Linked DNA regions of Drosophila melanogaster. The protein of the gene in region 2 interacts with the protein of the main gene of each other region in a pairwise test. Each region holds a gene or a part of one and is shown on either strand. Other genes may lie near its edges.

Region 1 (15,248 bases), on a different chromosome or scaffold from region 2:
CCGTTTCACCATGCCAATGAACGCATTAGGAGCCAACAACAATAACAGCGTTAACTACTTAACAGGCACATGTAATACGCTCGCACCAAGAGTACCACTTACATTTTACATTTGCATTTTGGATGGCCCAAGGGGGGGTTTAATGGGGGTCTGCGAGGGCTTAAGGGGGGGGGGCATTGACCCCCCCCCCCTTGTTTATTTGTGACCTGTGGCCAGTTGACAATATGCAGTGCCAAACGAAGTGACGATGCCAGGAGCACACAAATCAGACTGCAGAGTGATTAAAGTTGTCCTCACAACCGCAAGAGTTGGCCCCAAAAGTAGGCAATAATTTTTGCACACAAAAAGGGGTGAACCTTCTCTGCAGATGGTTCGCTCTCATTACTCCTCGTACATGTCGCATTTAGTTGGCTGCCGGCTGGCGCATTAAGCAGCAGCTTGTGCCATATGCCACATGCCACATGCAATTTGGCAAATGACGCGTTTAAAAACGCGACAGTGGCAATAAACACGCGCAAAACGTTTGAAAATGAGGAAACGCGAGGCGAATAAAGTGGGCCACAGTGGCAATTGACTAGTGCACTGACTTATGAATGAGTCTAAGTGATGGAATAATGTATTTGCATTGGTGGCTGTAAATCTGGTCTAGTTGATGTAAACTCAAACTATTGAACCTACTCCTTTTGCAATACAATTGAATTGACAATGAACTTTTCAATTGAGCATCAATTAAATTCCCTCGACTGCAGTCGAATAATTTTGAGCACTTGCTAACGAGATGTTGAAATAAGATGAGGCAATGTTGTAAGGACTTTTGGCCCCATTATCTATTGTTATCTTTGGCGACCATTATTGTTTGCAGTTTGCGAGCGACGCAAAGCCCAAAAACACACACACCTATGTACATACATATGTATATGAATGGAGTATGGCTGTAGATCCAGGATGCCTGGTCGCAGGACTATGACAATATTTTGCTGATGCCAGCGCACCTTCACTTTAAGTGTATTATTTGCAGCACATTTATAATGATATCAGCACATAAAAATCGTGTTATTTGCCAACTTAAACATAAGCATATCAGGCTTCAGAGCAAAGTATTTTGCTCGTTCCTCTACGGGAATACAGCTTATAAATACGTAGCGGTAGCGGCTTGCCTCTGTTGTTGTTTGTCAAACGTTGTTAGTAGTGGGGCAAAGTCGGGCGAATCCTGCAGGATGTGGCGGAGAACGAGCTCGAAACGGGACCACATCATCAGCATCAGAAGCTTCTGTAGCTGCTGATGGTTCTGCTTCTGCATCAGGTTCTGAGCAACTGTGGCAACGTCAACAAGCGGCGGGAAATATTCACATGCATCCTCGGATTTGCCTGAGCGCCGTCTATATGTATGCATGTCCATAAACTCACACAGCCGCATATCCTAGATCTCGAAAGACCTGCGTATATATGCATAAATATATCCGTGTGGCAGGGTGTATGCAATGCGCTCCAAAAACTATCAAGAACAGCGATGGCAAGACAATAACAAGAGCAGCAGCCCAAAAAAAAAAAAGGCAAGAATAATATGTGCACATGCCAATGGGCTGATGCAAAAGTCGTGCTGTTTGGGCAGGACGAGGCAATACCCTAGAATGGATGAATGAAATTTTATTAAATACATAAGTACTTAGTGCATTATTACGAAATAGAAAGTAGCAGTCGAAGGAAGAATTTAAAGTTGAAAAACATTTTTCCCTGTGACACCTATTCTTCACCTATTTATTGTAACTTTTTTGAAAATTATCTCTTTCGTTAATAATAAATATTAATATTATAAAAGATATTCGCTATCAAGCAGAAGTCAAGTTTAAGTAAATTCGCATTGTGTTGCCATTTTGAGCTGTTTTATGCGAAATTCTTTTCGTAATACCTCAGTTGGTTAAGTTAAAGCCCTGTGTCGCCGGTCTGCCATCACTGCCGCTAAGCTGTCCGCTTTTTCTTTTCGCCCACAACCTTCACTTGCCCCGCTCTGGTGACTTTCTCCCTTCCCTTTATGCGATGCTGCTGCTTCTTGCTCCTATGCGACGGAGCACACGGGGCGCATGAGTAATCTAGGCAGCTTGTGCTTTGCATTTCCGTTCCGTTCTGTCCCTGCTCTTCCTGCGCTCTTTACTCATTCCCTTCTGCATCCTTTCTATTTACTTTTATTTCAGCAACCCGTGATGATGTTGTGTGAGTGTGTGTGTGTGTGTGTGTGTGTGCTGGTGTATTTTTGGTATTTATTTTTGGCATTATTATTGCATATTTTGTGTCGCTCGCTCCTCCTCTTTTTTTTCCCCCATTTTTTTTCTCGCGCTTTACGTTAATGCGAAATTTATGCTTCATGCGCTTTTAGTTCTGCCCCGCCTCCTCTTTAGTTGCCATACCTTTTCTGGGATTTTTGGTATGCGAAAATATTTTCGCTGGCACCCAGGATAAAAATGGTGGCACCCACCATCCACCATTGGCAGGTGTTTTTCGTGTGTGGGGCGGCTGCCTCTTTGCCCACATATTGATATTGACCGAAAAATATCATCAGGCACACGAGCGCACCCACACACACGCACATACAGGGAAAAAAGAAAAGAGAGGAAGTGAAAGGAAACTTGTTTATCCTGGAAGCAGCAAAGCAAGAGAAATAGATAAACAAATACATAAATAAAAAGTGCAGGCAACAAGGGAATACCGAAATGATAAAGAAATGCTGCAGGATGAAAGTAGCCAAGAAAGCTAATGACGATGTGGCGTATAAGTAATGCGGCAAGATGGGGCTCATGAGTAATGTCCTGCGACATGTGCACGTGTGTAGTTTTTCGCTCCCAAGAAATAAGTTCTAAAATTGTTAAGTAATTGCAGGTACAAATAAAGTAAAACAAAAAAAAAAAAAATGATGGAAAAGGAGCGAGAGAAACTTAAACAGCCTTGAGTCGCTTTTCTTTGATCAAAGAGAATTTCGATTACGAATGGCAAAAGGAGCTCCAATAGGTTTCCACCCCGCCCCCATCATTCAACTCAGCGCGCCCTTCATTATATTCCTTCCGCTTTCAAAAACTTCGATTGCATTTCCGTTACCATATCCATTTTACGAATATATGTATGTATGTATATATATATATATGGTTATACGCACGGCCAGCTTTTTCCAAGCACTTTGGCCCAGCTCTTTGGCATCGGATCACCCCATTTGGCTCCCGCTTTAATGGCCTCCACTTGTCGTGTTTTATGCCGATTTCATTTTCATTTTCATTTGACTCGCCACGCGCCAGGGCCAAGTACCAAGTGCATGCTGTGTGTGCCTCCTCGTCGGTGAACTTTTCCACATTCCGCATTTGCAGCACACGGAACCACAGACCCACAGACCCACAAAAACACTCATGAGCAGCACCACCGCACCACTGGCAATCGAAAAAGCCCCCCCTGCTCGCACCACTCGCCGCCCACTTTCAAATAATCATAAAAGAACGACGCTGGAAATTTATTAAGAAACTTGGGCACTAAAAATAGTTTCTAACAACACAGCGGCAGGGGCCAGTTGGGGTTTTTCCCAAAAAAAAAAAAAAGAGTGGGGTTTGGAAAATGTTACGCCCAGCCTTTCAATTTGCTGACGAATGCCCTTTGCTATGGGAAGGTCAGGAAAATATGCCAAAAATAACAGCAATCAGAATTTTAAAATCAATTAACAGTTTTTGCATTGCCCTAATTGCAGATCGAATGGGCGGATGATTCAAAGTGCAACATTTTCACTGCCTGAGATTTTAAATTAAAATCTTTCAAAAAGAGGAAAGATAGCCACATTTTTGGTATAGCAAAATCTAGCAAAAAGTTTGCAAACTATTGTTTCGATTGCAGCTACAATAGAGACATCTGACATATTGGTAAATTCAAAAAATACATACTAATTAATATGTAGAATTAATATATGTACGTATTACTAAAAGAAAATGCAATATTCATTAAAGTCTCCAGAACTTTAATGACAATTTCCAAAACATTCGATGAAATTGCAGCTATGAAATATGCAAGCTGGGAAAGTGATAATTGAATGAGCATCATGGGTCTCAAGTCACAATGCAGAATTCAATTTCTAAACTAAAGTAAAATCGATAATTTGCGTTCAACATAAATGCCTACTGCTAGTGGCACGTTTCTTTCAACATTTTCGTGCGATTTTATGTGTCACTCAGAGTTTAGCAAGGAAAAATACCAGATTTTTCCTCAATCATCTCATTTTTTGTTTGGTTTTTCGGTGAAATGTTTTTGGGCACTGCCAGTGGCTAGGCACGTTCATTAACCCCCCCTAAAAGTGTTCGGTTCTTTCTAACTAACTCGGGTCCCTTGCCTTTTTACTTTTCTTGGCCATTGTCCTGCTGGTTTGGGCCTCTTCCTTTTCCTATTTCCTATTTGGGTTCGGCTTCAGCGGCCTGTAAAATCCGTTTAATGGCATAAACGGGTTAAGCATTTTGGTGACGTAAATATGAACAACAGCAATAACAACATCGCCTGTGTCCTGAGTCTTGGCCAGAGTGTCCTGCCTGTCGGACATTGTCTGGTTTATCCAGCTGCCTGTAAGCCTCCTTCTGCCTTCTGCCGTCGTTGAGCTTTAAAAGTCTGAATTTCAGTTATGAGCAGAACGTGAGTCTATCGCACACATATGCACATGCATGCACACATACACGCTGGCACATCCTGCCACACCTACACACACAACCCGCACGCTTCTTGGCCAACTCGCTTTGCATGTGTGTGTGCATTGGGCATTTTTCAAAATGGCAAACAAAGCGCGCGTGACATGAAAAAACGGCCAGCAAATCGTTCACTCAGCCTCAGAAAAACCCAAAATCCATTTCCCTCACTCACTCATACATACATACATACACACACTGGCGACTTTCCTTTTGTTTCAGAGTGTCTGTCTGTGTGTGTATGTGAGTGTATGGGTGGCAGACAGTTTGCCAGGCATTTGCTTAATTTAATTTTGCCTGCCTCAACGGCTGCTGTTTCAGCTCTTCTCTCCCTCTGCCCACTTTTCACTTCATTTTGTTTCGAATTTCCACGGACTTTAAGCTCTCCCAAATGGCAGGGGAAAAGCCCTTGGAGATTTCTCTCGGTGTACGCTCCAGTGGCTGTCTTGACTTGCAGTTTGTTTTCTTAAAATTTTGCAATTAATCAACTTAACGTCCCCAGTCCGGGAATCCATCTGAGCTCTTTAAGCTCGCCAAAAGCCTTCGACCTGCAGGCGCTGAGCAAATATACTCGACTAAAATCAACAGCACAACACAGTTGGGTTCACCCATCATTTCAGTCGTGATTGTAGTTTTATCAAAAGTATTATAAAATGTACCAATTAAGTTATAGTAATTTACACATAGCTGCGAGCTTGAAAGCCAAGTAAATGAAATTAAATCGAAAATTGGAATCAAAACCAAAGTTTCAGTTCGATTGAAATGTTCTTATGTGAAATGCCAAACAGGTTGGATATTTTTGATTGAAGAAAGGGACCTTCCACTTGGTGAGCTTTCAGATGAGCACATGTGTGAGATCCATTGCTCATCTGTGATAATCGAAGGGGGCGAGGGGCGGAAATGTCCCTTAAACCCACTGACACCACCCACTCCTTGCGAAAGTTGAAGGCCACAGACAGAGAAGAAGGTGACAATTGTTCATTTGTTTGGTCCTTTGTTTATCGCCAAACAGTTGACAGCTCTGCTGCTTTGTGGACCAAAAGCAAATGGAAATGGGAAATTAAAAGGGGGAATGGAAAAACTGGGGATATATATGTACGTGCACATGACGGCTGCTTTCTTTTCGAAATTTCAATTGCTGACAGGCTACTTACACACAGGTAATCTATGTTGTAACATACTCACTCATTTTGTATACTATTTTCAAGTGGAATTGTAATCAAACCCATATTTATACGATTTAACGGCAAGCCTCATTAGTATTATATGAATAGTTATATAAAGTAGAATTATAGATAACGATCTGTAAAATAAATGAAGTTATTATATATGCATTAAGTAATTAAATAAACACAAAAATATATTTACGTGTTTTCAAATCAACATTTGTTGGCTTGTAGTTCGTTTGTTGGTTATCGATTTGAGAATGTTATCCTAACATAACTTTATATTCTTGTTGTTCTGCATTCATTTCTTCTGTCTCTAGTGGAATTCACAGGAACTAGAAAGATACCAATTAAATTGAAATAAAACCCATATCAACACTTCCGTGCATTTAGATTTCCAATTGCGTTGGCTGGCTTTTTGGGCAGAGCAGAGATCTGGTGCTACAATTTTTGTCATTTGTGACTGGCGATTGAGTTCCGCTCCCCAGGATGCCAGGGCACTTTGGCACTGTGGTCAACACAATCAGGATGCAGTCATCGCCAGTTGGCACTCCATTCCTCACCCACTCGCCTTTCCTTCTCTCTCTCTCTCTCTCTTTCTCACTTCCTGCTTCACTGTCTGGATTTCTCTGAAATTCCCACACACACACACATACAGAGCTGCTCCAGCTGACATAACTCCAAATGCACTTGCTGACAGTCATTGAAAACACAAACTGTAGATTATGCCACTGCCTGGATTCTCTAGTTCGGACAGCCTCATCCTTGTTTTCCTCCAGGCATCCTGGCAACCTGGCAACCTGGCAACACGGCAACCTGGCATCCCAGCACTTGTTATAAATCACAAAACAAGTAAAAGAAAAAAAAAAAATCGAAAATTATCTAACGAAATGCTACTCAAGAGCGAGAGCGAGAGCATTGGAAGAAAAAACCCAAAGACCAAAATATATACTACGTTGCTTGGGCCAGGTGAGCCTGGAGTCTTCTCCTCTTGGCTTAAATGTGCAGCATTGCAGAAAATATATCGGCCAAAATGCTGAGGCTGAGCTGCGGCCCATCCTCCATTTTGGCCCATTCACCTTTTTGCCGGTCAGTTTGGCAGTTGGTAATGCGGTCAGTATGTGTTTGGTAGTATGTGTGTGTGCATCTCAGTTTGGCCCGCTCTTTTATTCTGTTTATAAACGTAACAATGACCGCATTCTTGTTTTTTCTACTGAGCACAGCACCTCCACCGCCGCCCACTTTTGCACTTTCTCATTTCACCAAAAAGTGCAGCAGCAAAGTTAAAGTTTTCCTCAACTGTCTCTCTCTCTCTCTCTCTCTCCCTCTCCGTTTCTTCCTTTTTCTATTGACAACTGCGGCTTTGGTGCCAAAAAGAAATGGAGGAAATGGGCATCCTTGCACAGATACACGCCCCCATCTCCGCCTTGCAACACCCGCCCACCCACACACACACACACACAGTCACAAATGAGCAGCAGGAGGAAAATGCCGCGAGCTCTTTACGCGGCCACAGTGACTGCGAAAAAAACATTCCACTGTGCCAAGCAAACAGCCACTGGCAATTGGCTGAAGCGCTGAGCGAGGAGCCGGTCTGAACCAAAACTGAGCCCAGTTAAGAGGCGTTCTGAAATGGTTTGGTTTGGTTTCGTCTGGGCTGAGGTTTGGGTTTGGGTTTGGGCCTGGGCTTGAGGTCGCCTCGCCGCATTAAAACAAATAAAATCAAATAAACGTTTATTGCACTGAAATGTTTACGAGGCCACAACAAAAACAACAACGTCATTTCGAGGGGGGGGGAGTAACAACAAAATGACAGCCATAGTAGTGAAAATCTGGCAATTTAATCAGCCCGGCAGCGAAATGATGGACAAATGGCCACAGCAACTTTGTTTGGTTAACACTGGGCATGAATTTTTGGCCAGGAGTGGCGCCAAAAGTGGCCCACTGTCATAAGCGTCAACCACGTGTTTTCATTTTTTCATTGCCCTTCTTTTCTTTTGACTGACCTGCTTTTTAAGTGTAATTTTTTTGGTCGTACATCCCTTGCTTCGCTGTAAATTGGCCAATCTTTTTCCAATCTCAGCAACAAATGGATCCTCACAATCACTAAAAGCCCATAGGTTAAGTTCTTTTCCTTAGAATTTCGAGAATAGTGTGACCAACTCAGCAGACCGCTGACATTCACAATATATCGATAGTTGAATGGAATTTTTTTCTGGTAATTGTGGTAACCCTTAAGCACTAATCGCAGGAGCTATCTTGACAATTTACAGCCAAATATCTTTTTTAAATACAATAAATGAATATATTTGACAATGTTCTACTGAAGCTACAAATTTCCAGTGCTGTACGTTGCATAATTTATTATGAAAAAAAAAAGTTATACTTATTATGCCAGCCGAACATAATAAGAATTTTCGAGACTAGAGTTCCCATCTGCAAAGACATGACAAAGCACTGGCAACCCTTTTAGCACGTGTCAAAAACGCAAAGAAAAATACGATGACTTTTCAGTCTAAAAGTCACATATCTGATTTGGCGTGAGGACCTCAGTTGATTCACATCTCGGAGCGGATATTACTTAATATTATATTAATTAATATATTCATTTGCAAAGCACAGAGTTTTCAAGGTGAGCATATTAAGAAAATTCTTTTCCACGCACTTTACCCGTACAAGTTAATAGGTTTTCTTACCAAAACAATGGATTTCAAGAAGCTGAAGAAAATGGAGGAGGCGGTGCGCATCGGCGGCAAGGGATCTATGCGCCGCAAGCACAAGAGAAATCCATCCCCGGCTGTGGTTGAGAAACGAGTGCAGGCCGAATTGGCCATGTTACCGTTGAGGAATATTGGAGAAATTCAAGAGGTGACCATCGAGTTCACCAATTCCAGGGAGGTTGTGTTAACCATGCCAAAGGTTCAGGGCACCCCTCCCAATTCTTTCTTCGTGGTTAGTGGCGATCTCGTGCGCAAATCGTCAACAGCTGGCCCATCGAAAGTGGCCAAGGCAGCCAATGCGCCCAAGGCACCCATGCCACCTAAGCCACCCAAGCCGGAAGCTTTTTCCGACAAAAAGCCAGAATCAGGGGAGTCCATTAAGGTGGCCAAGAAGCCCAAGAAGCCGCGCAATCGTGTTCGTCCTCGCAACAAGAAGGTTCAAATGATGCTTTCCAAAAACAAAGAGGAAGCAGCAATGGCTGGCGGGGATTCGGAGCCGAAGCTTAGCAATGGTAAATCAATTTTGATCTCCTCTGAAGATGGTAGCGATCCGAATAATGAGAAGGTGCCATCGGATGAGTCTGATGTGGATCGGACCGTCGTCTGCGCCAAAGATTCGCTGGGAAGTTTCGGCGATGATTCCGACGGCAAGGAGGACGATGACAGTAAGGAGTCGATTTACCTATCTTCCTACTCCGATTACTATGATTCCGCGGATGAGCAGCTCAATCCGAAGACTTATCGCGCTCAGGTGTCAGAGGACGAAGATTAGACATATTCATTTGTTGCTACATTTGTACCAATTTTCTAAATAAATCGCATACTATATACGTACATACTGCACTTCATATATATTTTCTCTAAATTTTTTGGAAATACTTATAAAACATGTTTAATCATTGTAAAATTTTCATTAAATGTTTATCTCACAAGAACGTGATTTCTTACGCTGCGTTAAGTTTTTGCCAGTCATTATTTCGTGTTCTCTTTCGTGTTCTCTTTCGCATGGAATACCTTAGAGTTGTCAAAATTATTTGGTGAAATGGCCAGAGAATAATTAATCGGCCACAAATAATTGGAATAGCTATCATCACAATTTACAACCAAATACATATCTATTATAAATAAAAAAATGAATATATTTCAAAAAAAATATATTTATGCTACCAGAGCTGTAAATTGTATAATTTATTATGAAAAAAAGCACTAATACTTATTATGCCAGCCGAACATAATAAGAATTTTAGAGTCTAGAGTTCCCATTTGCAAGGACATGACAAAGCCCTGGCAACCCTTTTTAAAAAAAAAGACGATGACTTTGCAGTCTACAAGTCACATTTCTGATTTGGCGTGAGGACTTCAGTTGATTCACATCTCGGAGCGGATATTACTTAATATTATATAAATTAAAATATAAATTTGCAAAGCACAGAATTTTCAAGGTGAGCATTTCAAGAGAATTCTTTTCCACGCACTTTACCCATACAAGTTAATAGGTTTTCTTAACAAAACAATGGATTTCAACAAGCGACAGAACATGGAGGAGGTGGTGCGCATCGGAGGCAAAGGATCTATGCGCCGCAAGCATAAGAGAATCCCATCAGTAGCTGCGGTCGATGAGAAGCGCGTGCAGGCGACATTGGCCAAGATACCGTTAAAGAATATCAGCGGAATCCATGAGTTGACCATCGAGTTCACCGATTCCAGTGAGGTTGTGGTAGTCATGCCCAAGGTTCAGGGCATCTCTGCCAATGGTTTGTTAGTTGTTAATGGCGATTTCGTGCGCAAATCGTCAACAGCTGGCCCATCGAAAATGGCCAAAGCAGCCAAGGCACCCAAGGCACCCAAGGCACCCAAGGCACCCAAGACACCCATGGCACCCATGGCACCCATGGCACCCATGGCACCCATGACACCCAAGCCGGAAGCTTTTTCCGTCAAAAAGCCAGAATCAGAGGAAACCATTAAGGTGGTGGCCAAGAAGCCCAAGAAGCTGCGCAATCGTGTTCGTCCTCGCAACAAGAAGGTCCAAATGATGCTCTCTAAAAACAATGAGGAAGCAGCCATGGCTGGCGGGGATTCGGAGCCGAAGCTTAGCAATGGTAAATCAATTTTGATCTCCTCTGAAGATGGTAGCGATCCGGATAATGAGAAGGTGCCATCGGATGAGTCTGATGTGGATCGGACCGTCGTCTGCGACAAAGATTCGCTGGGAAGTTTCGGCGATGATTCCGACGGCAAGGAGGACGATGACAGTAAGGAGTCGATTTACCTATCTTTCTACTCCGATGGCTATGATTCCTAGGCGGAGCAGCTCAATCCGAAGACTTAACGCGCTCAGGTCTCCGAGGACGAAGATTAGACATATTCATATGTTGCTAGATTTGTACCAATTTGCTAAATAAATCGCATACTATTAACGTACATATACCTCGCATACCTTACATGTTTTTTCTCTAGAATTTCTTAGAGTTAGTCAATATTATTTGGGGAAATGGCCAACGAATGATTAATTTGCTAAAATCGTCTTGCATTGTTATAAGCCGCAAAACAAGGCACAAAAACCGAAAATCCTTCTAAAATTAAGTGATGTTTATTAACATAATTCCTGTTCACATTTAGTTAAAGATTGGAAAAGTTAATAAACTATTGAGTCGCTTAAAGATCCATTTGATCTCTTGAATGCTTTTTCGTGCCGCATTTCTTGAACGCATTAAACAAGAAATCCGAGCAAAATTAATTTAGTAAACGTTTAAGAGGAAATGCCACGCCCCTATTTACGTTCCACGGTGGCGGAGGTGGAAAGGGCGGCAAAAACTAATCTGCGCCTCGAAAAATGTACGAAATTAATCTGCACATAAATTAAGCATTAAAATTTAATATATTTGTTTATGGAGCCTCAAAGTGCGATGGTGTTGGTAGGGTGGAGCTGGCGGAGCACACGAGTGGGCGTACCGGATGTGCTGTATATGTGGAACATGAAATGTGTGTATATGTATAAGTGTGTAGTGTATGGTGTATGGTGTATGGTGAATGGTGTATGGTGTGTGTTCTTAGTGGTAATAAATAAATAGCAAAAAGGTAATAAAACAGATAGCGAAAAAGGAAAAAACGGAAAAACATCCCGGGGGGATGTGGAATCTGCCAACTGGTTGCCCATTATCGTATTAGCACATGCCACCAGTGATTATTATGAGGTGTCCTCCCTCTGCTCCAGGTCCTGCCACAGCTCCTTTTCCTGCTCCTGCTCCTGCTCTTGCTCTCCCCCGTATCCTTTGTCTATGCATGCGTGTATAATTAATTTTGCACCCCTGTTTGTATCCACATCCCCCATGATCAGCACCCAAGCTCTTGTTCTCGTCCCAGCTTTTGCTTTTGCGTTTGCTATTCCCCCTTTTGCTTTCGAGGCAACAATGGATGGCCTTCATCCCAACTGGGAGCCAGCACTCTGGCAAAATTGGTAGCGAGTTTCCCCAATGGAATCGGGGCCAAATCGGGCGGACTTATGGTCTGTCGACAGACACCAACGAAAACCAACGATATCGCTCTTCCGAACGGGGATGGGGTGTTGCACTTTAATTTCCCACAAGATTCCCTACAATGCATACGCATTCCAATTCTTAAAAGCCAAATTGGCTGTGGCTAACACTGATTAATCCGCACATTGTTCGACAGCCAAATATGGGCCTCAAAGAACCAAAAAGGTGAAATTACATGTGGCAAATCTGCCTATTGTTTTCGTATTTCCCGTCGCTTTTGGCACGTGGAAAATTTTACAAATTTTAAGCAGATATAAACATACCCATGGAATGTTGTATGATATTTGCCTATATATTTATATAGAATAGAATTGAATCATTTGAACCAAAATGAAACATTTCGCATAGGAGTTCCTCGTTTTTGTTGCGTTTTTAAAAGCACATATACTCGTAGACATGCCAGAATAATATAAATATAAAAAAGTAGAGACCCATTGAAGATGATAAAAGCTTAAAATTGTCAAGGCGATGCTTCTGAGGCATTTTTATTTGATATTTTTATGGTATATAAAATTTCTGTTGGTCTGAACTGAAGCTTCCAAGAGCTTAATGTTGGATTTCAAAAAGTATCAAAAGTATCCAAAAGTCTAAGCTGATGCCATTCCACCAAGTGGCTTACTTTACCTTGGAATGTAATGTGAGTGCTTTTGAAGAAAAAAAAAAAAAAAGCAATGGAAAGACGTTCAAATGGTATTTGGATTATGTCGCTCGCCTTTTGCCTCTTCGTCCATGATGAACTCTGGAAATTTCTGGAAATAGTGGCGTTTATGAAAGTTGTCATTCCGATTTGATGACTATTGTCGAACATTATCTACAATAATTCATAAAAGAATGCCGTATCCAGTTGATGCGGCGAATGGTTGATGGATGAAGATGAATGGGCCATAAGAACATCTCATTAGGCTGAGTGAAAAATAGACCTATCCGCAACACCTACTTGTATCGATCCCAGAGTGCTGTGGGTGGGTCTGCCCTGTGCTATATTGTCGCCACTTTTGTTTGGACTCTAATGAAATACGCATTATTTGGCAACTGTCTGGCAGGCAGCGTGAATTTAATATGTGGAAACATCGCTTCTGTTCCCGCTTCTCTACTTCCTGATGGCTCCTTGGTCGTGGTCCTCGCCTGTCATCCGCAAACGATGCCATTCATTTTAAGTCACATGTGTCGCCCGGGCATATGGCCACATCCCGGGCAAACCGATTCGAGGACATTGTATTGCGGTCGACTATCCCTGTCCCTAACACACGGCTTAAGTGTTTATTAATATTGAATCGTGCGAACCCGGACATGTGTTGGACCCCTAAATTGACTTTGCCGTAACTGATAAGGTCCCATTCGCCAAAAGACGCAGCCTGTAGTTATTGTAACAAGCCATTGGTGATTGTTATCGAGCTTGGCGAAGACAACAGCTGGTCACACTACACGCACGTATCGCAGCAAGGACTCAAAAGAAGTCCTTGCACACAGCACAGGATTCCATTCCGTTCGATTCGTTTCGATTCGATTCGATTCTGGTCGAAGAACAATTACGAACTGAGAACTGCGAACTGCGATGCTCTTGAAACGGCAATTATGAACTGCACCCTCCGCCGCGCTTCTCACAATTCCAAAAGAGGTCATGGGGTCAGCAGCTGGCGAGAAGTTCGCAATGGAAGGAGGGGAAAAGTTCGCCCTCAGTGCTCTTCAATTATTGTAATCTATTTTAAGAGGCTCTTATATCAATATTTTCGATTCGTTTTCGGAAAGAGTTCTTAGCAGAGTTATTCTGCATCGCTCGTTCCCTTTCCAAGTCCCCTATTCCATGCCAAATTCACATTCCTTGTCCTTGCCAAAAATTCTTTGCTTAACTTTCGCCACCAGTGTCTGCGAAACGAGGTAACCTGGCCCAAAAATACTATACTGCAGCATGCTTTCAGGCCTTGGCAACTCTCTGTTGGGCACACACACACACACACACACACACACACACTCATACACATACACTCGAATGCAAGCACACGTTCTCGTTCCGCTGGGTAATGTCTTTATATTTGAAATTGCTTTGCTATTAAAACAAAATAAACGACGCGACGCGCAACTTATAAATTTTGTTTGAAAATCAAGTGAAATAAATGCAGTGGCAGAAGTAAGGCGCTGAAGGGGTGAGTTTTCTCCTTTTTTCTGTTTTTTTTTTTTATTTGGGAAAATCTGTACCGAAGTGGAAAAACAGAATCGAGAAACCAAGAAAAGGAATGAGGCGAAAACAAAAGCGCAAGACAAACACGAGATATATATCCTGAAAAAAGGGTGAGGGGTTGGGGCAATAAATTTAACTTTTAGCCGGCTATGTGTGAGTGAGTAGACACACCAACACACACACACACACACACACACTCACTCACACGAAAAACACATGACCATAAATAGCAGTGGAAGAAAAACCTTTGCCATTTCCCATCGCAAAGAGGTCCTTTTCGGCGGTTGCGACTTTTAATTTTATTGCCAAGGTCCGATGGTTTGGAAAACACACATCTTCCCCTCTTGCTCACTAAAATGTTGGCCAATTGTCTGTTGTTGGCTGTTGGGGTCAGCTAATAATTGGTAGACGGACTCTTCATATATCACTGGCGCGCCCAAATGTAGTTGATTCTTGTAAATGATTGCCTGCCCGCATAAGTATATGGAGGAGTTCCTCAATTGATTTCGGGTATCTTAATGAAAATATGTCAACTCAGTGGGGCTGCATGTATGCCGCCTGCGCGTACTCTCTTTCTCGATATCCACCATTTTTCATTTTAATTTTAACATTAATTTTCAATTCAATTTCGCTGCTCATTGTCATCAATTGAATGCAGCAGCTTGATCCTGCCACGAGTTTGTCATTGATGAATGCCTTGCTCTTGGGCAAAGAAAAGTTTCTCATTTATTTCCTGTTCACGTTTGCATTTGATTTTTATTTATTGCGCATTTTTCTAAGGCTTTCACTTCTAAGGTTGCCTTTTAATAACAGAAAACTCGCATAATTTCGCCCAAAACTTTCGCCCCAAGCTGATTAGCCCGCTTGCGGTGGCAAAAGTTGAGTTCTCAATGTGGATGGGGGGCCACCATCCCGTTTCCTTTTTGGCTTTTGATTTGTGTGTG
Region 2 (16,014 bases):
CACCATTGACCTGAAATTAAATAAGCATTACTTACTCCAAATAAAATATAAACAAACAAGTGCGTACCTTTTTTGTTTACAATTTTAACAGCTGATGAGTGAAGTGCTGTTAACCTTTCATAGTTATCGATAATCTGTTATTATTATCGGAATATTGCTCACTTGCTAAGGATTCCATGAAATTTAAACAAATGGACTTTGTGACGACAACTGGGGAGGGAAGTTTTCTGCGAAACAAGATTCGTGCATATGCCAAGGATCACCGTGTTGAGTGCCGCATAAAGGCGAAAGACTCATTGCGCATTGGACTTGGACAGGTTAAGCAGGAAGTGGCGGCTCTTGAGATGGGCACCAAGGACGTCATTGGAATGGCCAGCAGGATCAAGCGTCGCAAGCACGCCACCTCCGAGGATCTGTGCCGCTTGTCGCTGGGGTTCCTCCAGAGCAATGACAACATCAATGCATTCGCAGCTATTCCTGGCGCCATTCAGGTTCTGGTTAAGGAGCTAACTGGTAACCAACTGCACCCTCATTAGCTTTAGTTTTATATAAAAAGGTTGACTTGACTTTCAGGACCTCACATTCAACGACAGACAGATGCCGTGGAGTGCTTGTGTAATCTTTCCTTGGGCGAGGCCCATGTCTCCGAAAAGATTGTCACTTTGGCGGGCAGCTACATGGTCACCTACCTTGATGGCAAGGCCGAACGCCTCAAGCGCAGTTGCCTGTGGACACTGGCCAACGTTCTGGGCACATGCGACAAGGCCGGCAGCGTATTGCTGCAAATGCAAATAGTACCCAAGCTGTGGAGGCTCTACATCGAGCCCAATGGCTGCCAAGAAGATGCGGCCATCTGCCTCTCCCTGGTGGCCACCCGCTGCCCGCAGCATGTGAGTGACGAGGATCGAAGGTACATTGGCCAGAATCTGCCTGAGAAGCTCCACGGCCAGCCTGCCAGCGAGTACTTCATGTACATAGTGCACCAACTGGAAATAGTGACACAGGAGCACAAGTTAGATGCTCAACAGGCCGAATGCCTGGTGCGTTTCTTTGAAGCCACCTTAGCATCGCCAGCCGACCGGCTGTGCCTAATCTACGCCGTGCGTGTAATGACCAATCTGGTAGCCCTAGGTGACACAAGTCTAATATTCGCACTGGCAGACCCGCAGAATCTTGTGCAAACCCTAAACCAGCTCTTCGCTCTGCGAGATCCAGATCTCAACCTGGACGCGATGCGCTTGCTCAAGAACTGTCTGCACTTGAAGGTAGCAGATTCCAACCTGGTACTGAATAGCTTGCAAATATACGCATAGGCTTATGGTTAAGAATAAGTCTTGCAAATCTCTTTATTGGTCTTAGAGTACATATAAATATAAAGCCACGGACTTTTGAGTACTCGAGAATGTATTGTAAATGAACATGGATTGCCGCTAAGCAAAACTAAATCACTAATGGAAACAGAATAAAATAAATAAATAATAAATAAATACAATACGACAAAAACACAGATGCAAAGTGGTCAACATGATTACTAGTTTGATTGAGCCACCGGCATGAAAAACAGGACTTTGTAAAACCTAAATATCATCCTCGAAGAGGGCGATTATTTGACGCCTTTTGGCTTCGTCGTCGGCGTTCAGTTCATTGCCCCTGTGGGCATTGTGGTTGTGCACCTCCAGTTCGGAGACTGAGTCAAATTCTAAATTGCACTGCCCGCAGCGGGCTGAGAAAACGGGCGCTGGACCCTGCGAAACTGTGCCAGGAGAGACAGCGGCCCGTTGCAGCTTCTCGAGGAACGTGGCTCTCTCCCTGTGCTTGTCCAGCCCGATTCCCAGCGCCGCCTTTCCGCGAATGGGAATGGGTTTTTTCACCGTCGGCGTGCCCTGGGAATGGCAACTTTCAGAGCGCTCAATGGCGTACAGCACGTTGTTCTCCTCCGTGATCGGAGTCGTCGTTCCGCTGGCACAGTCGAATAGAGATGGTTCCTGCACCGGCCGGGGATCGGGTATATCTATGGGAATTGGCGGCTCAGCTATCTTCTCACCGTTGGACACCTTCACCTGATTGAGCTTCTCGGCCAGAAGCGAGTCTATGGAATGTTCCTGCAGCCAGGCGCAAGTTTTGTGCAGAGCGAATATCATGCGGCGGATGAACTCGTGCGGCGAGACCATTTTCTGTCGCCTAATCTCGAGCAACTTGGTCACCTCGGTAACAAACGTGACGAACTGGTATTCGACGCAGTTGTCCAGATGCGACTGATGCGAGTCCTCGAACATGAAGCGTTTGGAGCATGCCGGACACTTGCGCTCCTTCCACATGGGCTCCGGTATGTTCACTTTGATGTCGCGCAGCTGCAGCTGATCCTGCTCCATGGGATCGTCCTCCTCGAAGTTGGTCTCGGTGTAGTTATAGCAGTTCTTGTGCTTGCGCAGCAGGGCCGCCTCCTCGTTGTCGTCGCTGGAACTGGCCACCGCATAGTCGTCATCTTCGTCGTCATTTTGGCCACTGCTCGATGGCAGTTCGCCATCCCGCGGTTGCCTGGGCATGCTGTTGTGAGGCTGCTGCTTGTTGAACAGCACGTTTAAGTACTGGATCTTCTGCTCAGCATTGCCGTCTAGCTGGGTAGTCGTCTGATTGAGCAGTCGCTTGTGTACCTTGTCCTTGGATGACTCCAGTTTGTTGGCGCTGTTGTTTAGCAGAAGATTATGCACTGGCCTCTGCTCCACATAATTCAGATCCTCCGCCGTGAAGAGGGCGCTCTCCTTGTCCATCTTGTTCGCATCCGAAACGTTGACCCTCTTCTGCTGGTAGAGCTCCGCCAGCTTGAGACTCAGCGCGTTCTTGATGCACTGTTCCCGGAATGTGACGGCATGCTTGAGATAGGAGATGCACGGCGCACATATGTTGCGTGGCAGTCCGTCGTCCGTGGAGTTCTGCGGTCGGTCGAAAGAGGAGGCACTCATATAAACATTTATCTGGCTACTTTAGAATGGAGTCACTTACTTTCAGGCCCGTCGTCTCCTCCAGCAGAACGTTTATGGGCTTTTGCCAGTTGAGAAACTCGTTTGTGGAGCCGTGCAAATACGTGGGAATCTTGGCGAATATCTCGTAGTCTGCGGGGCTGCTGCAGATGCGGCAGATATTGCCCCACGACGTCATACTTATGGCAAACCTTAAACTTAATGCTTATGCCGGAAAAAATAAACAATGACAATTTTCAACACTCCGGCGAGTGTTGCCCTACCACTGAAGGTTCAAAACTCAACAGTCCACCCACTTGCGGCAGTGATGTCCAGTTAGCTATAACAGGATTACAGCAAATTTTTTGAATATTAATTATTATTAGCTAAACACGTGACAGATATATTAATGACTAAGACGATAGTTTATTTAAGCATAAATAATACTGTTGAAAATACAAACGTAGATTTATTTGATATATATTTACAAAGCTAGATTTTATTAACACCAATTGGCAACAGTGGCCAACAGTCTGTTAATGCTCTTGATCTAGCTGAACTCGGGGGTCACACTGGTGCCCATCTGGAATTGCATAAACAAACCTCGCTACTGGAATAAAATCACAAATATGTCGTTTAATATCATGCAAAAGCTGACCATGCAGTGCCTGAAGGCAGACCAGCCGCTGATGAGTAAGGACTTCCCACGAACCGGTTGCATATTCTAATCAATTCAATCCCATTTAGCCACCGTGCGCAATGCCAGCAAGAAAACCGGCGGAAGTACGAGGAATAAGAAGGGCCATGCGAGGCCCAAACATCGCGGATGGCGCGTCCAGGATGGGCACCACGTCTCCGAGGGCACAATACTGGCCACCCAGCTCACAACGCGCTTTCATCCGGGCCTGAATGTGAGTAGCGCAGGAAGGAGTTATCCCGGCATATTTTTATACTTTTTCCCATTGAAAGGTGGGCTTTGGCCGCAATGGAACCCTTTTCGCCATGGAGCACGGCAAGGTTTATGTGACCTGCGAGGCCATCGATCCCAACTGGGACCACACCTGGATTCAGCGGAACTACGCCGGTCGCCAGGGCCAGAACATCTACAAGAAGTTCTTCAATGTTGTGCCCGAAAATCAGCATCAGCGATTTCGTCTAGTGGAGGAAATCTAGATTGTTAAATACAAAATTTAAACCAAATGGAAATGTGAATATTTGAATTTTTGGCAATTAACATCGATGTGCTTAACAGCACCTGTTATATTTACATGCCAGCACGACCGTTATACAGCACTGTATTTAGCAATGCTCTGAACCAACTATCGAATACACGCCCCGAATTTGAAAAGAAATCCAGTTAATAGCCAGATATCAATGCAACATTTTCGATTATTAATTTCGCAAAACTTTTTACATTGCGAACTTCAAAAACAAAAACTACACTTCCCCCTTTTTTAGCCAAGCCGAACGCTATTGAACTGTAAAATGAACTTTAATAATAAGCCATAATCATCTATAAGAAATTATAAAATTATGCACATGACGGTATAGGCACTGCCTACAGAATTTCGCTTAAATCAAGTACACGTTTTATCCTATGAATGTAAAAACTTATTTAGTATTGTTGTAGTGAAATTCAATTTAACGCTTATATATGCAGTATTATGTTTAATTATTCATGATTATATATTTTCATAATGCATATAGACTTAAATTTATCTTAAATATAATGGTGTGTACGAGATATTTTTTCAGACTAAAATGGTAGTTAGGGGTATATGTTTTCTGTCCGGATGGTATTTCGTATTTTTTGTTATCGCCGCCGGGCGGTCACACTGCTACAACCGCAGCCAACTTCGCTTCTTTCTTTCCTACAATTTTAAAGATGGTGAGTGGACGTCGGTAAATGTGGTGCACCTAAAATGTGGTTTGTGGGCAGGCGAATGATGTGGAATAGAAATAAGAGCTCACTCAAAGTGCCGCAGCATGCCTGCCCACTGACTGCAATGGCCAAGTGAGCATAGCGACTGGAGCAAGTAAACATAACCTCCAGCACGTGGGTGAAAATGATTGAGGAATGCTCAATGAAAACACGTTTCTTTTCTGCTCTCCCTTACAGTCGAATATCAAGCGGAAGAAGACCAGGAAGCTGCGTGGTCATGTGAGCCACGGTCACGGCCGTATCGGCAAGCACCGCAAGCATCCCGGAGGTCGCGGTAACGCTGGTGGCATGCACCATCACCGCATCAACTTCGACAAATACCATCCTGGTTACTTCGGCAAGGTGGGCATGAGGAACTTCCATCTGCGTCGCCAGCACAAGTTCAGGCCCGAGATCAACCTGGACAAGCTCTGGTCCCTGGTCGGAGCCGAGAAGTTCGCCGAGCTGGAGAAGGAGAAGAGCACCAAGGCTCCCGTCATCGACTTGGTTAAATTCGTAAGTTTCGCCCGAATTCCCCATCCAGCTACGCGAACTCTGCTGCCGCTTTCAACATGAAGATACACCCAAGGCGATGGGCGGACAGAATGCTACCGTACAATTGCTCTCACCGTGTAGAGGACAGCCTTTCAGATCAAAGCCAGCAGTTCTTGAAGAGGATGTGCACCCGTTCTCACCCCGTTGTAACCCATTGTATTGACTCTGGTGTCCTTCTCATGTCTCCACAGGGCTACTACAAGCTGCTGGGCCGTGGTCACCTGCCCGCCCGCCCCGTCATCGTGAAGGCCAAGTACTTCTCTAAGAAGGCTGAGGACAAGATCAAGAAGGCCGGCGGTGTGTGCTTGCTGAGCGCCTAAGTTAAGGTGAGCTTGTGTGTCTAGCTGTCTTACCTATTCGTCGGCGAAGCAATGAAGTGCAGTATCCTAATTGCTATTGTTTCCCTTGCAGATTCCTCCTCTACAGAAGAAAAAAGCAAGTGGACTACATTCGACCATCAAAAATGTATTTGTTTTTTAATAAATTTAAAAGAAAAACAAGTATTTGCTATTCCGACAAAATGTGTTTACTAAAAGGTATTGGGGCTTCATTTTCTGCTCGCTTGGCGCAAGTTGTTTAGAACTTTCTATTTCTATTCCTGCTACAACTTTCCTTTATATTTTTATAAAGAATAATTTCTATATGGTTAGTTTGTTGTGGCAAAGGAAAACTTGTATTTTGAATCAAATAACAAGGGCAAATTTAAATGAGTTTGACAATATTAGAAGTATGCCTATTTTTGTAACTTAAGAGGAACAGTAATAATATAAAGAAAATAAATAGTAATTTAAAGAGTATAACTGCGTCGGTGCGCATTATCAGTTAATCCCTCCATTTTTAGCACTATTCTCGACTAGGCTTTTTGCGCCTTCGCAGCTACGGTCACACAGCGGCGGGCAGAAAGCTCGCGGAAAAATTCGGAAGAGGCGGAAAAGTACGAGACGCCCGATATTGCAAAAAGCGGAAGCAGATTACGTGTAGGTCAAGGCCGTAGGGATGAGGGCAACTTCCATCTTTGACCTTGCTGTTGGTGATGGGGTGCGGCGACCTTGGGTCAAGGACACGACCGAACAAGAGGCACCGAATCCAGGAAACGTAGTCAAAGTGGAGGGCATGCCTGTGTGGGCGGGGGATGTTCCAGTAAAAACAAAGTAACTTGATTATGACCTCTGTGTTGCAGTTAGGAAACGAACTTGTTGACTTTGTAACATTACATAATCGGAAGCCCAGAGTGAGGAGAACTGCTGCGAGATGGCCAACAAAGTGCTGCGAAAGGTGACGCACTGCGTCTTCGACATGGACGGTCTGCTGCTGGGTGAGTGCTGCCGTGCTTGTATCTGCTTTCTGTGTTAACTATTTGCCGAACAGACACCGAACGCCTTTATACTGTGGCCACCGAAATGATCCTCGAGCCCTACGGCAAGACATATCCCTTTGAGATCAAGGAGCAGGTCATGGGCCTGCAGACGGAACCGCTGGCCCGGTTCATGGTCGAGCACTACGAGCTGCCGATGTCGTGGGAGGAGTACGCACGCCAGCAGCGCGCCAACACCGAGATCCTGATGCGGAACGCCCAGTTGATGCCAGGTACTAATCCCAGTTCTCGCTTTGCCGTCACGTTTCAGACACGGAGAGGATATACGAGGAGGTCACCCGGCAAATAGCCGCCTCCTTTGGCCGCCCGTATCCGGAGGAAGTGCGTTTCCGGGTAATGGGCACCACGGACCAGCGCTCGGCAGAGATAGCCATCACCGAGTGCCAGCTGCCCATCACAACCGGAGACTATCTCAAGCGGTACTCGCAAATGTGCCACGAGCGATTCCACAACGTACCCCTGCTGGAAGGTTAGCACCACGACCAGAAAACTAATCGGCATTTCTCCCTATAAATACTTCTGCTTCAATTACTATCCTACTGTGATTAAAGCCGTTTGTTAATCGTGTGCTTCCTTCCCCGTTCAAGGTGCTGAGCGCCTGCTGCGTCACCTGCACGCCAACAAGGTACCCTTTTGCTTGGCCACCAGCTCCGGCGCCGACATGGTCGAGCTGAAGACGGCCCAACATCGGGAGCTGTTCTCCCTGTTTAACCACAAGGTGTGCGGTTCGTCGGACAAGGAGGTGGTCAACGGCAAGCCTGCGCCCGACATTTTCCTAGTGGCCGCCGGCAGATTCGGTGTGCCGCCCAAACCGTCCGACTGCCTGGTGTTCGAGGACTCGCCGAACGGCGTGACGGCTGCCAACAGCGCCGGAATGCAGGTGGTGATGGTGCCGGACCCACGACTGTCCCAGGAAAAGACCTCGCACGCCACACAAGTGCTGGCCTCGTTGGCGGACTTCAAGCCGGAGCAGTTCGGGCTGCCCGCCTTCACGGATTGAACTTAATGGCTGACGTACTTTTTGTAGCTAAAAGATGCTATTGCTGTAATTGGAAATCGATGTACCTACCAAGAAAATGAATTTAAGTGTAAATGTTATCCCATATACACGTATACGTATGTGTGCATAAAGCATCTGGCTTTGCCTTTATTTTGCGCCTAATCTACATAGTTTTCCAGCGTAAGTTCTATTTGCCAACCGCTTCCAGGTTTTTGTGTATGTCAGGAGCAGCGTGGTTGGCCAGGGAGAGGGACACTTCCTTGCCGTTGCCTGCGGACATGGGAATCGATGTGGGGGAAGCTAGCAGCGCACATTATGCTAATCTACTCACCATAGCGGGCGTAGAGGCGGGGCTGGACGCCAGAGCACTCGCGCACGAGGATCGGCAGGTCGGGATTGCTCTTCTTCAGGTTTGGATAGAACCTTTCCACGTATTCCCTGTAAAGGAACGCTGCTTTAGCAAATTATATAATTTAAAAGCGGAAAATGACAATTTCACCTGACTCCCTTGGAAGTGTCTCCTTTGGGATCCAGAATGATTCGCAGCTCCTTCAGTTTTGGAGTAAAACTGGCCAATCGGAACAGAGTAATACCCATTTTGGCACCACTTTTGCGATTTTGAAATGTTCAGGAAGTAAGTCTATTTAAATGTCGGTACTACGCAGGGTTGTCAAACTGTCTTGGATTACATATTGGTATTATTGTTTTTTAAAAACAAATTACTTTTTGGCTCAAACTAAAATAACGTCTAACTCACCAGAGACGCGAACCATTAGTTGCATCGTTTGAATATCCATTCCAAAGACAAGAACCAAGGCAATTGTCTTGGCTGACACCAGGTCAGCATTTGATTGGCCCACATCGATAAATACCGATAAATGCTTGACGGCCAGTCACTCATTTGTTTTGGTAAACATCATTTGTCTCTGGAAAATATTCAATTGAACACGTATTTGAACAATTATGGCGTCCGTGCATTGTCAACTGTGGATGGGAAGCGTAAGTAGCAACGTGCATTACCCCAGACACATGACCCTTTAAGCCCGCATGGCCATTTCAGCTGGAGTCCTACATGACGGAGAACTTCATAATCGCCGCTTTCCGGAAGATGGGCGAAGATCCCACCACGGTGCGCCTGATGCGCAACAAGTACACGGGCGAACCGGCCGGCTACTGCTTCGTCAACTTCATATCCGATGACCATGCGCTGGACGCGATGCACAAGCTAAACGGTAAGCCCATTCCGGGCACCAATCCCATTGTGCGATTCCGTCTTAACTCGGCCAGCAACTCGTACAAGCTGCCCGGGAATGAACGCGAATTTAGCGTCTGGGTGGGCGACCTCAGCTCGGACGTGGACGACTATCAGCTGTACAAGGTGTTCTCCAGCAAGTTCACATCGATCAAAACCGCCAAGGTGATCTTGGACAGCCTGGGGTTTTCCAAGGGTTACGGCTTTGTGCGATTTGGCATCGAGGATGAGCAGAAATCAGCGCTGTACGACATGAACGGGTACATCGGATTGGGTACCAAGCCCATAAAGATTTGCAATGCCGTGCCCAAACCCAAATCCGAGTTGGGTGGTGCTGTGGGCGAAGGCAACACAAACTATGGATATGGAAGCGGTATGACTGCAGCAGGTGGCACCGACTACTCGCAGTACTACGACCCCACCAGCACCTATTGGCAGGGATACCAGGCCTGGCAAGGTTACTACGAGCAGGCCGGTGCTTCGATCACAGATGCGGCTGCATACTACCAGCAGGCCATGTCGCAGTCGCACTCTAATCCGCAGACTCTGGCCCAGCACGCCGAGGCCTGGAGCGCACAACGCAGCGCCCAGTACGAGCAGCAGCAGCAGCAGCAGACCGCTTCCGCCGCCAATGGAGCTGAGGATGAGAACGGACTGGTGGAGCACAAGTTCGTCCTGGATGTGGACAAACTGAACCGAGAGGCCATTGATGCCGACCGCCGTCTGTACGATGCTCTGGAGAGCTCTAAGTGGCTGCCCATTGAGCAGCTGGAAGTCTTTTAGGATACTTATCTACTATATTTATAGCTTACTATAATTACAGCTTAGATATAAGCAAAAAATATAAAAGCCTGACTTGTAGCGTATTATTGTTTTTGAGCCTGCTATAAACTTTTATGCTCCTGAATCTACATTTCTTAACAAAGGATTCAAAATAAAGGATACATTTTTACAAAATATCCCTAATATCCTTACAACAGATGTATTTTATCGATATACAGACGGAATACTATTCTGTCCGTGTCATCGCCATGTCGGCCTATCGACTGTCGATAGTTTCTGCCTTGGCCCGAGACTTTCGGAGATTGTGCAGACAATTGCGGACTAAATAAGCGTTGAATCATGAAGCGAGCGCGGCAGCCGAAGATTACTACGCAGGCCCTGCTCGATTTTGACTTGGGCGAGAGTTCCTCGGATAGCGACTTCCTGCCGGACATCGACAACTGCTCGGACGGATCGAAGGACGAGAGCGATGGCGACGGTAGCAGCAGCGACGCCAGTGGTGGCTCCGATTCTGAATCGGATTCGGATGCGGAGAGCGAGGATTCAACACTGCAGCTCCGGCAGCTGTTGGCGGAAACGGAACCGTCACCACTGGAGAACGGGATCAATGGAGTGGACCACTGCGCAGCTTCCTCCCCGGCAGCACCAGTAGTGCCTCGTGCGCCACTTCAGCTGTCTAGTGCTCCGGCCAAGCGGATGTGCTGCGTCTGCCTGGGCGAACGCAGCGACGACGTCAACGAGATCGTGGAGTGCGACTCCTGCGGCGTATCTGTCCACGAAGGATGCTATGGCGTCAGCGACAACGTGAGCATATCCAGTACCAACTCCACCTGCTCGACGGAACCGTGGTTCTGCGAGGCCTGTCGTGCTGGGGTCTCGGAACCGGACTGCGAGCTGTGTCCCAACAAGGGCGGCATCTACAAGGAGACCGACGTGGGCAAGTGGGTGCACCTCATCTGCGCTCTGTATGTGCCCGGCGTGGCCTTTGGCGAAGTGGAGCAGCTGTCCTCGGTGACGCTTTTCGAGATGCAGTACAGCAAGTGGGGCGCCAAGGTGTGTTCCCTTTGCGAGAACGCTCTATTCGCTCGCACGGGCGTTTGCATTGGTTGTGATGCAGGCATGTGCAAGACTTATTTTCACGTGACCTGCGCCCAGGTGGCCGGCTTTCTTATCGAAGCGCACCACGAGGACGATGCCGCCGATCCGTTCTACGCTCACTGCAAGGTGCACTCGGAGAAGGAGATGATCAAGAAGCGACGGCGCAACTACCACACACTGCGGCTCAATATGATGCAACGGGCGAGGGAAAAAGAGGCGTTAGCTGCCGAACATGAGACACCTGCCCCTCACCCAAATCCAGCCCAAGCACGCATTCAGCGTAAGCTGCTCAAGATCCAACACAAGTATACCAGGCACAAGGAGCTTAAGCCCACGCCGTGGGTGCCAACGCAGAAAATGTCACGCCTGCTCACCACCTCGGCCTCCGCCTGTCGTCGACTGTTGGCCAAGGCGGAGATTATGTCAGTGGATGTGCAGCATCTGGAGCAGCGCGAGGCGCACATTAACGCCTTGACGGACATTCGGAAGAAGTGGCACATTGCGCCGGCATTCAGCGTTGAGTTCACTGCTTACTACATGGACCGTATAGTCCGCATGGATGACTTCCGTCAGCAGCAGCGGGAGCTTATTTCGCACAACGCTATCTTGTCCAAGGATCAAGACGTGCTGAGAGCTCAATACGACACCGCGTTGGAGGAGCGCAAGGCAGTGAAGGCCACTAAGGATTCCCTGCTAACGAGCATTAAGTCTCTGCACACGGCTTTGGGCCAAATTGCACCCAACATGACGCTGCCCAGCGTGGATCTCATTGCGCATCCACTGCCAGAGGCGCCGCCAAAGACCAGTACGCCGACTCCACCCCAGCGTCCCATCTCGGTGCCCACGGCAGCTGCACTGAAAATGGGCGTGGGCTTTCCGTTGGGTCATCTGGGGCCACCGGGCAGTAAAATGGACTCGTCACGCATGCTCAGTACTCATGCCAAACAGGGCAAACACAGCACTTCCTCGGCATCCGTGGAGGCGGCCCCTTCTGTGTCCTGTGGCATCTGCAAGAGGAGCAAGGATCAGCATCTGTTGGTCAAATGTGACACTTGCAATTTGCACTACCACCTGGGCTGTCTGAATCCGCCGCTCACTCGACCCCCAAAGAAATCCAAGCAGTATGGCTGGCAGTGCTCCGAATGCTGCGACAAGTCTGAGGGTTCGGATGCCGTCACGGAGATCTCATCGGGTCCGAGAAAGTCACGCACTCGCTTCAATAAGGATGGCCATCTGGTCTATGTGGATCGATATTCGCTGGACGATATTCCAGTGGCCGCTGTCAATGTACCCAAGGAGTCACACACCAAGCGAGCGCTCAACAAATCCCTGCCAGCTCCTGCTCCGGAATATATAGAAGATCTGACTAAGTCGCCGAAACGGCCTAAACTCCAATCCCCATGTAAAACACCAATTAATGGTGAGTTCGTTGTTGAGAATTCGATTTGGCACAATACCTGTTTAGATTATTATTGCTGATTTGGAGTTTTTGGTTTATTTTTTTTTAAATGCAAATGTGTAAATATGTATGCGTGAATTAACGGAATTTTTCGCTTGATGGTTAGAGAAATTTATGATTTATGAAGAAATTGGTTTTCTGTTTAATCCTGATTATCACTACACTTGTTTTTTTTTTGGCCTGTACAAAGAAAGTCAAAACTATCTCAAACATTGATCTTTGTTTACGTTTATTGAATTATACCCAATTGGTATTTAATACAAGAAATTATTTTTTTGTTAACAAATAATAAAGAAAAAATTTTTTGCGCAAATTCAAGTATGTTTAATAATAAATAATAAAACTAATGTCACGGATCTTCTTCCGCCAGTTCCTGCCGAAAATGTCACTCCCACAACTGATGCTGCTCCTGTTGCCGCTTCGGCGGCTACTCCTGCGGCAGCTCCAACACTGCCCACGCCCAATACTATCGTGATTAACCTATCTGGCTGTGAGGACTCGATTGACGACTCCAGTGGAAAATTATCGCGCAAGGGTAAGCGCAAGGACAAGCACAAAAACAAACACAACCTGTCGTCGGATACAGAGAAATCGATCGGCAAGGAGCATAAACGGAAGCGAAAAAAGCGCGCCCACCTTGACGAGTCTTCCACCCATTTGGATAACGCGGGCAACACCTCGGGCAGCACCATTAAGATTATATTCAAGGCATTGCGTTTACCCGGCGAGGATGCGCCGGAGTCTCAATACTTCTACGTGCCGGCCAATGCGGTGCGCTCCGTGGACGAAGCCTCGCGCCCCACCTCAGTTGAAACAGTCGAGGACAGTGTCCAGGGAGCGGAGCAAGCCTTGGCACCCATCGTGCTGCCGGCAGCGTCACCGCAAAAGGTTCGGGAGCCCAAGGAGACTGCGGCCAGCGCTTCCGTCAACCCCACACCATCACCTAAAAGAAAGGTCAGTCCACGAAAGGCAAGTCCCCGAAAGCCGCGTGTGGGTCGACCACGGGTGTCCAACGCCAAGCCTAATGTGGAAATCAGCTGCTGCGTGTGCAGCCAGACGGGCAAGTCCAACCAGGTGGTGACCTGCGACGAGTGCCACCGGCACTATCACTTCGCCTGCCTCGATCCGCCGCTCAAGAAGTCGCCCAAGATTCGCGGCTACTCCTGGCACTGTGCCGACTGTGATCCCACGGACGAGGATGCACTGCCCAAGAAATAGAAGCAAACATGATTTTTACGTAGATTTTGTACCATTAATATCATTAGGTCCGTGCGATATTTACAAAACTAAAATTGAATACACAAAATAAAATAAGTAAGACACATTCATATTAAAAATAAAATATTGACCAAATTGTAATTTGTCACTCGCTGAATTGTTCGGCTCAGTTATTTAACATATTTATAAATACATTTATTAATAAAAACCATATAAATATTACCGAATTGGATTTCATTAAAGACGGAACCCGAAAAGGACTCATGAGACGTTCAACCGACATGATACGAAAACGGAAATTAATTTAACATTGTTGTTTATTATTTAGCATGACCAGCATTCCATCTCATTTTTGATTCTTAAATACACATATAAAATTATACAATTTTCAAATTATTAACGATCTGACCACGAATGTTGACCATGTTTTGGTGTTTTAGCAAGGAAACTCTGCATTTTTCCATCATATTCCTGAAAACAATCAGAGTTATGGACAAGTACCAAATACCAATTCCAATACAATTGATTTGTATTTTATCGGCATTCCACTGGCATTTCCGTTAAATGTGCTGTTAGGAGCCCAACCACATGTTGTGCTATCGAATGATAATCGATTCACGGCATTCGATATCATATAAACAACGAAATCGATGTACTTTTCGGTATGCCCTACACCGGGCTTAGAAGAGAACATTAATTTAGTACTTAGGTTAATTTATATCTATATATTTGCAACCTATAGTCAGTTTAAAGGAAATATATTCTTTATGTTTTGATTTTTTAGCTCGAACTACAAATGATATATGTTTATGCTTAAATACAATATTGTTGAAAAGATATTATGCTATAAAGTGAAGTCTATAGCCAAGTCGACCAAGCCGCACTATGCTCTAGTCCAGCGGCTGTTGGAAAAACGGCCACGTAAAAACATAATTTTAACAGGCGCAAATACTTGGCGTGTCTAGTCGCCAACGTGAATGAAAGTAAACAAAGGGCAGTAAAATATGCCACAGCGGCAAGCAACGAAGCAGTTGGAGTTGATATGTGACGTGAAGGAAAGGCAATAGTTCCGGACCCAGTTTGTGACCATGGACGAGAAGCTAAAATATTCTCTGCTGCGCGGGGAACTGGTGGACACGCAGAGCATTTGGACCAGGTGGGTCTCACAGCATACAGCTCACTAAACCTCCCCAAGTACAACTCCTTTGTCGGATCATTGCAGGCATGAGAAGCGTGTCTGGTTCATCACCCTTATTACGGGCACCTGTATGCTGTACTCCACCCGCACCACTATGCCACTTCTTGTGCCGGCCGTGGCATCCGCCCAAAAGTGGAGCAAAACCGACTCGGGCACTGTGCTCAGCTCCTTCTTCTGGGGCTACACACTCACGCAGGTTGTGGGCGGCTACTTCAGCGACCGCTTTGGAGGCCAGCGAGTCATTCTGTTTGCCGCAATCGGCTGGTCGCTTATCACATTCCTAATGCCCACTATCATCTGGACGGCGGGCTCCATCAAGAGTTACGCTATTCCCTTCATTGTTGCCATTCGAATCCTGAACGGCGCTCTTCAGGGCGTGCACTTTCCTAGCATGATTAGTCTAACCAGTCAGGTGCTTAGCTAATTTTATAAATTTACACATAAACTATAACTTAATCGTTTGCAGAATTTGTGCCCCAATGAGAGAAGCAGCTTCTTTGGGCTGCTCACAGCGGGATCGGCTCTAGGTACTCTTCTGACTGGGATTATGGGATCTTTTCTGCTGGACTACTTCGGCTGGTCGTATGTATTCCGGGTGATAGGACTGATGGGCATCGCATGGGCGCTGGTGCTGCGCTACTATGCAATGGCCGGCGAGCGAAACCGAATCATTAATATTGCCACGCCATCCCGACTGTGCGCGAACAAGAGTCCGGCAGAGACGTCAGCCGTGCCTTGGTTGCGATACTTTCGTAGGCTGTCCTTCTGGGCCTGTGTGCTGACTCACGCCTGCGAGATGAACTGCTTCTTCGTGCTACTCTCCTGGCTGCCTACATACTTCCACGACGGCTTTCCACACGCCAAGGGTTGGGTAGTGAACATGATCCCGTGGCTTGCCCTGCCACCGTGCACGCTATTCGCCAAGTACTTGACCACCAGATTACTCGCTCGCGAATGGCACACGACGACGGTGCGCAAGGTCATCCAAAGTTGCTGCTTTGCCGCTCAGAATCTGGCCCTGTTTGTGATGAGCCGCACCTCGGACTTCCATACGGCGCTCATCTGCATGACCATTATCATTGGCGGCACGGGCTTCCACAACAACGCGGTAACAGTGAATCCCCAAGACCTGGCACCTCTGCATTCGGGCAGCGTCTTTGGCCTGATGAACACAGTGGGCGCGATTCCTGGCTTT

What was found.
Region 1: the proteins of CG15439 (region 2) and betaNACtes3 interact in a two-hybrid assay, tested with the Drosophila melanogaster proteins (one large-scale study listed by BioGRID).

Annotation. Positions count from the first base shown.
Region 1 is NC_004354.4:14,370,408-14,385,655, forward strand, and holds betaNACtes3 (Nascent-associated complex beta-subunit-like, testis 3), read left to right. Parts: upstream 1-8,398; 5' UTR 8,399-8,498; intron 8,499-8,552; 5' UTR 8,553-8,569; coding exon 8,570-9,358; 3' UTR 9,359-9,419; downstream 9,420-15,248. Other genes in the region: betaNACtes4 (Nascent-associated complex beta-subunit-like, testis 4), read left to right, coding at 10,100-10,891.
Region 2 is NT_033779.5:4,447,123-4,463,136, reverse strand, and holds CG15439 (uncharacterized protein), read left to right. Parts: upstream 1-10,098; 5' UTR 10,099-10,185; coding exon 10,186-12,364; intron 12,365-12,773; coding exon 12,774-13,621; 3' UTR 13,622-13,842; downstream 13,843-16,014. Other genes in the region: CG15443 (uncharacterized protein), read left to right, coding at 177-513, 574-1,313; CG15435 (uncharacterized protein), read right to left, coding at 1,578-2,933, 3,004-3,159; mRpL27 (mitochondrial ribosomal protein L27), read left to right, coding at 3,605-3,653, 3,708-3,871, 3,930-4,133; RpL27A (ribosomal protein L27A), read left to right, coding at 4,846-4,848, 5,080-5,397, 5,628-5,756; Gs1l (GS1-like), read left to right, coding at 6,688-6,751, 6,805-7,023, 7,399-7,811; ND-B8 (NADH dehydrogenase (ubiquinone) B8 subunit), read right to left, coding at 7,999-8,081, 8,143-8,249, 8,311-8,408; Secp43 (tRNA selenocysteine associated protein), read left to right, coding at 8,775-8,810, 8,872-9,846; MFS18 (major facilitator superfamily transporter 18), read left to right, coding at 14,710-14,777, 14,844-15,231, 15,286-16,014.